Coturnix japonica: one gene and its partner. The protein of the gene in region 2 interacts with the protein of the main gene of each other region in a pairwise test. Links are inferred from orthologs where the notes say so. Each region holds a gene or a part of one and is shown on either strand. Other genes may lie near its edges. The genes, in order: PHOSPHO2 and NAB2.

Region 1 (4,364 bases), on a different chromosome or scaffold from region 2:
ACTGCAACAAAAAATATAGGGAACACCTATTTGCTAAATCAGATAATAAAAAAACAAAAACAGGAGCAATACAAGGAGATGAAGAAGTGGAGTGGGTGGGCCAGATTTTGGCAGGAAGAGATGAGAGGCAGCCAGAAGGCTGGGTTTGGTAGAAGCAGTGCTTCATGTAGACGAGGTGCATGTGTTATGAATACTCATGTTCTTCTGCAGAATAAAACAGGAACGCCAGGATAAAATTGTTAGTCAATTAGCTGCCCAAATGAATGTAGCACTGAAGATGGAAGATGAGCGTCTTGCTAGAGACATTGCAAGAAAAGAAGCTGCGTATGAAAAAGAACAGAAAGAGAAAGAAGCAAAAAAAAAGGCTGCCATTGAATCTATTGCTGAATATAGAGCCACTGTGGTAAGAAAGCTAACCTGTTCTCATCCCTGTCTCTGGCGTGTACTTAGGAGTACCTTCTAGGAACACTGTGGTTTTTAGTGTGCTAACTGTTAGTGAGACATACCCACAAGTTATCAGGAGCTGTCTCTCATATTTACCATTTACAGTTATACATCTAACACCTTAAGCAAGCCACAAGGTACCTGGGTTCATCTGTTTGAGTTTGAAAGTTCTGTAATCATTAGTAATTTGTGCAAATACTTCTCAGTCTCATCCCTGCTTCCTGAGGCCAAGGAGTCTGTCAGTGCTGCCAGAAACTGGGCCTGGACAGAGTGTAGCTGCCATGACCCAGCACATCAGAGCACTGGTGTGGGACTGCATTGTTATTGCATCTGGATCTAGCCTGGAGGCATGGCTCCTCAGACTAGCAGGGTAACTATCTGGTTAACCCCCTCTATTTTATAAAATGCAGGTGAAGAGGAAATTGGAGAAGGAGAGAGAGGAAAAAGCAGAAAGTAAAAAAGAACTTCAATCATTTGTGGAAAAGAACCAGATCTATCTACAAACAGAAAAAGCCAAGAAACAAAGACAACGTGATGCAAGCATAGAAGTACAGAAATTTCAGATCCAGCAAATGGTAAATGGAAGTGCCATACCCTTCCAGAGCCTTAAAAAGGAGCATGAACCTGACAGTGTTAGTCAGTGTGGGAGTCACCCATGCAAACCCTTTCCTGTCAAGGAGTGTTGCATGAGTGAAGGCTGGTTTGCAATGACACATCACATCCCATTCTGTGTCATTATGTATGGCTGCTGTCCCCTGGTGTCTTCTGGGCAGATCCTCAAGGAACAGCAGCAAATGCTGATGCTTATTCAGCTACTCAGTGTACACTTTCCTGTGGTGAGGTGAACCAGGAATGAACTGGGGAAGGACTTACCCTCTCTAAATTTTAACAGACAATTCTGTTGTAAAAAAAATACTAAGCTTTGTTATTCTCTATTTGTTTACTTTCCATAGAATCATAGAATCACCAAGGTTGGAAAAGACCTAAAAGATCATCTAGTCCAACTGTTCACCTATAATATCTCCCACTAAAGAAATAACCTAATAGCTCCCACTAAACCATGTCACTCAACACAACATCCAGTCTTTCCTTGAATACCCCCATGGTCGGTGACTCCACCACCTCCCTGGGCAGTCCATTCCAATGCCTGACCACCCTTTCTGAGAAGTAATGCCTCCTAATGTCCAGCCTGAATCTCCCCTGCTGTAGCTTGAAACCATTCCCTCTGGTCCTATCACTAATGACACAAGACTTTTCTTCCTCAGGCAGAAAAGAAGGCAAAAATACAGCAGGAGAAGCAAGCAGACTTGGACTACGATATTGAGACAGAGCTTATTGCGCTCCATAGAGAACAAGAATTTCAGAAGTATGCAAAGCAAGTAATTGAATCAGAGTCCAAGACTACACATCATCTCTATCCTCTCCTGAAAGCTTCCAAAGAAATAATAGGATTTGGAGGTAGCCCATTTTCCATAGAAAGTGAAGGAACAAATCCAGGTTTTCAAGCACAGGATGCTGCTGAGACCCAGTTACCTTGTTGTAGCAAGACTACTGCTGAAGAAGTTTAACCTATGAACGAACACTGAGACTATCCAGCAAGGAAAGGCAAAAGTAGTTTTTATGTGGTTAAAAACAAAAAACAACCAACTTCTGGAACCTTGAATCTTCCATCAAAACTGTAAATGGATCTACATTAAATTTGTGCTATGAATCTGAAAGTCCCTTTGAAAAAAATAAATTCTGTAGAATTAAGTATGTTCTAAAAAAAACACCAACTTGTATTTTATAAAAGTTGTAAGCTGTTTCTTTGCTGAAATATTTCCATCACATTTCACGTGATGTGAACAGAGTTATGGTTTCATATAATAACAAATCATAATAGGAATGCATTACATATAATTTTGAGCATCAACATTACCCATTCCAGCCAAAGGCCCTCTCAGAATCAGCAGGGCAAGAATGCACACAAAAGTCAGAATACTTACGTTACTGCAGTTTCTGTAGTGCTTTGCAACTGTCTCTGTAAAATTAATGTTTTGCTGCAAATAGTCTTGTAGAAGTAAGGATGTAAGCTGGTCAGAGACAAATTTGGTTATCCAGAAGACAAGTAAGTCCCAATGTAGTTATAAACAGTTATGACAAAAATACCGTGGCAATAAGAAACAACACAGTTTGATGGTTCTTGCAAAAAAGAATAACGTGCAATCTGCAGTAGGCAAATTCAGATCTAAAACTGTTTCTCAGGGAGCACAGAACTCTTTGGAGCTTACTCTGTTGCACAAAGCCACACACACATCACACTTCTTGAGATTTTCTTTGCATTTCTATTGTGCGAAGTGGGCAGAGTTAGGATTTCATGTAACAACTTCTGCATTATCCTGGGCTCTGAACAAGACATTTCCACTTTGATCTTCCATGCAGGAGAAAGGGGAGAACTTAGGAACGATGAGGACGAGCCCTGTCGCTCCGCTCCCGCGTTCAGGCCCGGCAGGGCGGCTCCCGCCTGATGCATCCCTAGGGCCCGCCAGCAGCGCCGGGGCGGGGCCGTGCCGCCATCGGAGCCAGGGCGTTCCCATCTCTTCACTGCTGTTGTCGTGTCTCTGCCCGGTAGTGCTGCCCGCTGCCTCAGAGCCGTGCGGGGCCGAGGCGCTCCCGCTCTGGAAACAGAGAAAAGAGCGCGTCCGTCGGGGCGGCTGTCACCGCTGGTGAAGAACCGGGAACCTGATTTTCTTTGTCTCGGCGGAAGCTGCCGATGGAGCACGAGCAGCCGGGCGCCGAGCAGCGGGAGGTGGAGCGGGAGCACGGCCGCTACATGGAGCGCCGGGCGGTGGCCAGAGAGCAGCTGGCGCAGTGAGTCGGGGCCTCGGGGCGTCCCGAGTCGGGGCTCGTGTTAAAAAGCCTGTCGGATGTCAGCAATGCCCACGGGCCGTGTCTCGGGCTGCCCGCCATCGGCACGGTGATGCCGCGCTGGACGGAGGGACCGCGTGTGCTCGAGCCGCCCGTTGTAACGCGCTACGTTCAGCCCCGCTGCTGCGGTGGGCCGGGAAGCACAGAAACGCTGCTGAAGTCAGTTCTGCGGCTCCAGAAACGCCTTTTGCTGGCGGTGGCAACGTCTGCTCAAGTCAGCTAAACAAAGGGAGTGGTGTTCTGGTGCCGAGAACAAGCGGTTTGTCTCCCTGGGGCAAAACTTGTCATTCTTGTCGTTTCCCCACAGTGATTCATACATCAGTGTGACGGGGTGGGCTGATGACCGCTCCTGTGCCTCGGCCCGCGCTGTAGCATTGCTCAGAAGGCTGTGCTCTAAAGCTGAACTTGTGCAGGGAGCGGGCCAGCTGTTGAACAAGTGAATCGAATGCAGGCTGTCATTCAAGTCCATTTGCTGGTCACGTTTGCTTTTGCTAGGATTAACTTAATCAGTAAATTTCTACTCTTACTTTTTGTGCTGGTGCTCAGCTTTGTTGCTACTGTTTTAAAAAACATGATTCTATTTTGATCAGATGTTCTGCTTTCACTTCAAAGTATCAGATTGTTCAATGTTCAAGTACCTGTAGATGTGAAGTATTCCAATCTGTTCCCTGTGTCACGAAGTCCCCAGGCCGTTAGCTTTCTTCCTTTTCTGTTTCAGAATAGAGGAGCACAAGCATCTGGCAGACCTGGCCAAGCAGGAAAACAAAAGAGAAGGTGAAAAAATACAAAGGCAGAGCCAGTTGTACCAAATGGAAATTCAGAGAGGAAAAGAAGAGGAACGGGAGGAGAAACTTGAACACCAGAGGCAGTATCATGTAAGTAACAGAGGGAGAAAGTTCATTATTTGCTTCACCATGAAGCACATGCATTGGGACTGTGAATAAATGGGTCTCTTGGCAGCAGAAGGTTTGCTGGTAGCTTCAGTAATGCTGGGTCATAGCCCCCTGCCTTGC
Region 2 (4,447 bases):
TTGAGGGGGGGGGGTCGGGGCGGCTCTGCTCCCCCACCTGCACGGAGCACACGGGTGAACACCGGGCTCCCCCCCCCCCCCGAGCCGTCACACCTACACGTGGGCGGCCGCTGCCCACGCTCACAGCTGTGCATGCACGCACACGCGTGTGCCCCCCCCCGATACACGCATCCCCCCCCCGCACCCACCTCCTGTTTGAGCCGCTTGGCCGCGCCGGCCCCGCCGTCCTCGGGCTGCGCCCTGTGCGGGTGGGAGCACAAAGGGCTGCGTCAGTGCGGGGGCAGCACCGCACGGTTCCCCCCCCCCACTCACGTTATGGGGCGGTGCTGTGGGGCACAGCGGGGTCTGGTACAGATGGAACCGGGGCGGGGGGGGCAGGGGGAGGGAGCAGAGCAGCGCCAGCTTATGGAGGTGGGGGGGGGGAAAGGAGCTCGGGACTGGGGGCTCCAACAGCATCCCCTGTGCTGTGCCCCCCCCCCCAACACACACACATTGAGGCACCAAACTGCCTCAGCAATGGAAAGGGGAACTCGCAGCCCCCACCCCCGCCCGGAATTGCCGGTGGTGCAGCTCCCATAGGGGAAACCCCCACTGGGGGGGGGGGGGGATGCTGAGGGCCCCCCCTGCTCACCTGGACACCTTGAGCGAGGACAGGTAGGTGCTCTCCCTCGCGACCTGTCGCGACAGCGAGAACAGCTCGACGCGCCGCAGCAGCAGCGAATTGTCCCGCAGGCAGAACTGAGCCGCAGCCTCGTTAATGATGAGCTGCGGGGACAGAGCCGTCAATAGCACCGAGGGGGGGGGTCACAGCGAGCCCCCAGCCCAGCCCGACCCCCACCCCGCCCCCCACCTCGTGCAGTGTCAGCTGTTTGCCCTCCCTTCGCCGCGCATCCCCTCGCCCGTAGATCGCGCTGTGCCGTCGGATCTCCTCCTCCTTGTGCCGGTCTCCGTCTTCCAGTTGGAAGATGTGCCCCACGGCTTTGGCCAACTTCTTATTGAGCTTCAACAGAGCCCGCAGCTCCGCGTCCCCCCCCCGGGGGCAGCTCTGCAGCAGCCTCTCCACGCTCTCCGTCACCGTCCGCACCAACTCCGGTTCCAACACATCGCCCCCCGACGGCTGCTCGGCGCCCCCCGGTGAGAACGGAGGAGCTCCGGGCTCCTCATCCCCTCCACCCTCCGATTCCGGGGTGCTCCTCCCCGGCCACGGCGACACCCCCGACGGCGACAACTTCTCCGACGGCTCCGTTGGGCTGCGGGCTGGGGGCGTCCCCGCGTTGCCCCCCCCTTTCCCCGCAGTTTCTCCGGGGCTGCTGTGCCCGTTACTGAGCGATTTGCGGCCGTCGTTCAGCTTGAAGAGGGGGATGCTGCTGACGGGCACGGCCGGTACCGGCTGGCTGAAGAGCCCCGGGTTGGACGCCCACTCCCGCAGCGCTTTCTGCAGTCGGCGGACGTGCAGCGGTTTGGTGGCCATTCCCACCAGCGCCATGATCTCTAAGAACTCCTCCTCGCCAGCCTCGCAAAGCTGCTGCACGTCGTCCCCTCCTTGTTGGATGAAGGTCTCGTAGTAACCCAGCAGGTTGGCACGTTGAAGAACCCGGTACAGCTGCAGCTCCCCCAGCGTGCGGGGCACGGCCATGGTGAAGCCTATGGGACAGACGGACGGACGGCGTGACGGGGGAAGGACGGACGGACGGACCCCCCCCACCCCCACCCACCTTTTGGCCTGGGGTCTCCACTGAGCATCCACAGCTGCACCGACCCCAACACAAACACGAGTGGGTCCCCATTGAGGAGCTTGGAGACCCCACACCCCGTGGCCCCACCCGTGCTCCCACCCCATGGGGCACCGCTTAGGGCAGAGCACACCCAGGGCTGCCCCAGTCCTTCTCTACCCCACGGGGACAGCAAAGTCTCAGCCCCCCCCTCTTTGGCCCCTACAGACCCCACCTTGCACCCAGGCCCACGCGTGCTCACTGATCAGGCTGGACCCCACACCCGCATCCCCCCTGATCCCAACACAGACACGAGTGGGTCCCCACGGCAGAACCATAAACCCCCCCCCACCATTCCCACATCACGAACCCACTCGTGCCCCCACCCCACGTGCAACAAAACACACCCAGCTCTACCCCAACCCCACGGGGACACCGATGTCACGACTCACCCTCCGACCCCCCCCCCGTTTCCCTCCCGTTCTCTCACCGCGGGCTGCAGCCCCGTCCGGCCGCTACGCGAACCCCGTGGGCATGGACGGACGGTACCGGGGGGCTCGGGGGGGTGTTCGGGGGTCCCGATTCCGGGCCGTGCTCGTTCGCTCCGCCGAGTCGCTCCGCTCTGCGCGCCGCCCACACGGGCGGTACCGAGAAATAGCAGCGGCCCCGGCTGCGGCTGCGGCGTGGGAGGCTCCGGAGGCGGAACCCGCGGCTGCCGCCCCCGCTGAGCGCGGCGTGGGAGGATGAAACGGGGGGGGGGGAACCGTAGGACCGCCCCATCCCCCCCCCTGAACCGAACCGGGACGGAGGGAGCGGCTGCGAGCAGGGCGGAACCGGGGGGTCCCGTCGGGCAGAGCAACGTGAAGACACGGGGGTTGGGGGTCCCGGGCAGGGGCTCGAGCAACCGGAGCCTACGGGGGGTGGGGGGGGGACACCGTATGTGAGTGGGATCACGGCTGTCACCGTGTCGGTGCCACCTCCCGGTTATGGGATCGCAGCCGGGTCCGGGCACCGGGTGGGGGGGGGGCTTCAGAGCGAGCAGCCCCGGGACAGAGCGGGTCCGGTTCGGTTCGTGGGAGGGGAGGAATTTCTCTGCCATCGCCCCCCCCCCCCCATGCTGAGCCCGGCTCTATTTATACCGAGCCGGCGCCGCCGCCCCCGCGGCCCCTGCCCCGCGTGGGGGGGGGGGACACGACAGCGCCGCGTTCCGGAGCCGTCGGGGGGAGGTGGGGGGGGGTCCCGTTCGGAACAGCCCATATAGAGCCCATATAGAGCCCATATATTCCGAACCCCATATAGACCCCATCTATGTCCGAATCCCTAAGACCCCCCCCCCAGGGCCATGCATGTCCAACCCCCCCCCCCCCCTCGTGTCCGGCCGCCCCCGTTTGACGCACATCCTCCACCACGACCCGCACGCTTCCGGCTCCGCCGCCCACTGACCCGGGGGCCGGCCCGTGAGCCCGACCCGCCCACGGAATGCCGAAGAGCCCAAGGGTATTGGGGGGGGGGGGTTAACAAGCCCGGGATCCAGCCCCTACGAGCCACCCCCCCCCCAGTGTGGGGTCCAATGAGCATCGCGCTGCCTCTGCCCGCTGTAGACCCCCCCCCCCAAGCAAAACAACGACGGTGCGCTCCGTGAATAAGGTGGAGGAGCTTGTCAATCAAGCCGGCTTGGTGGCGAGGGAGGGAGAAAACGATGCTGAGCGGCTGATTGGTTGAGGTGGGCTTGCTCTGTCCAAGCTCGTTGCTAAGGCGGGCTGCGTTGCCTACGGTGTGGGATGGCTTCGGGAGCGAGTGGAGCACGTTGGTGGAGTGTGGGTGGGGCTAAATCCGCATCCTGCCTAGGCTGTGCTGATAGGTCGAGCGCGCTGTCAATCAACACGCAGGGAGACGATAATCCCGTCACGGGTTGATGACGTCAGGCAAGCCTCGCTCTCTCATTGGGTGTTGTCCCGTGGGGAAAGCGGAAGCGGAAGTCGCCGGGAACGCCATGGCGGGAAAGCGGATGAAAGCGGTGCCAATATGGCGGGCGGGGCCTGGTCGTGTTTCTTGCTGCTCCTCGCGCTGCCTCCTCCGCCGGGCGGGGCCGGTGAGCGGCGGGCGGAACAATGGGCCTTTATGGGCTGAGAGCGGGCGGGCCTAGTGGGGGCCTATAATGGAGTCATAGAGCGGCCATAGCCTGGATCCGGCTTTAGAGTCTCGGGTGGGGATGGCGGGGGGTTGGGGTCTCCGGGTTTGGGGGCCTGGTCCGGTGTAAGGGCTCTGGTTGTGGGCTGGGGGAATGCGGTGGAGATGGGGGGTGGTGGGGGTCCCCGGGTGAGGGCGGGACTGGGGGGAACCAGGGGGATGGGAGATGGAGAATGGAGATGGAAGATGGGGGGGGGGAGTGAGTATGGTCCGGGTTGGGGTCTGTGTGGGGCTGGGGGAAACGGGGGGGAAATGGATGAGATGGGGGAGAGGGGTTGGGGGTCTCGGGTTGAGGGCTGTCTGGGTTAAGGGCGGTGTGAGATGGGGGGATGGAGAGTGCGAGAATGGGGGGGTGTTGAGGGTGCCGTTGGTTGGGGGTCCTGTGTTGGGGTCCTGGTTAAGGGGTGGTCCTGCCTCCATGTGCACCCAATGGGGCCCTTTGGGGGGGAGCAGCCCGCAAATGGGGAGGGGGTGTTGGGGGGGGGGGGTCTCGCATCGCTATTGTGTTAATTCTTCCTTCCTTTCTGTGCTGTGAAGATGCCGGT

What was found.
Region 1: the proteins of NAB2 (region 2) and PHOSPHO2 interact in binary tests that used the Homo sapiens proteins (3 or more experiments, as listed by UniProt). The two-hybrid records come from large-scale screens. The link is inferred for Coturnix japonica from reciprocal best matches to the Homo sapiens genes NAB2 and PHOSPHO2.

The regions. Positions count from the first base shown.
Region 1 is NC_029522.1:16,264,097-16,268,460, reverse strand, and holds the start of PHOSPHO2 (pyridoxal phosphate phosphatase PHOSPHO2), read right to left. Parts: upstream 2,873-4,364; 5' UTR 2,430-2,872; intron 2,214-2,429; exon of another isoform or gene 2,013-2,213; coding exon of another isoform or gene 1,710-2,012; intron 1,020-1,709; coding exon of another isoform or gene 855-1,019; intron 404-854; coding exon of another isoform or gene 211-403; intron 1-210. Other genes in the region: CCDC173 (coiled-coil domain-containing protein 173), read left to right, coding at 211-403, 855-1,019, 1,710-2,012; coiled-coil domain-containing protein 173-like, read left to right, coding at 3,197-3,294, 4,070-4,226. UniProt on the Homo sapiens protein: Phosphatase that has high activity toward pyridoxal 5'-phosphate (PLP).
Region 2 is NC_029544.1:1,653,680-1,658,126, forward strand, and holds the start of NAB2 (NGFI-A-binding protein 2), read right to left. Parts: upstream 3,012-4,447; 5' UTR 2,203-3,011; intron 1,645-2,202; 5' UTR 1,637-1,644; coding exon 851-1,636; intron 766-850; coding exon 632-765; intron 241-631; coding exon 189-240; intron 38-188; coding exon 1-37. Other genes in the region: NEMP1 (nuclear envelope integral membrane protein 1), read left to right, coding at 3,738-3,804, 4,440-4,447. UniProt on the Homo sapiens protein: Acts as a transcriptional repressor for zinc finger transcription factors EGR1 and EGR2. Isoform 2 lacks repression ability.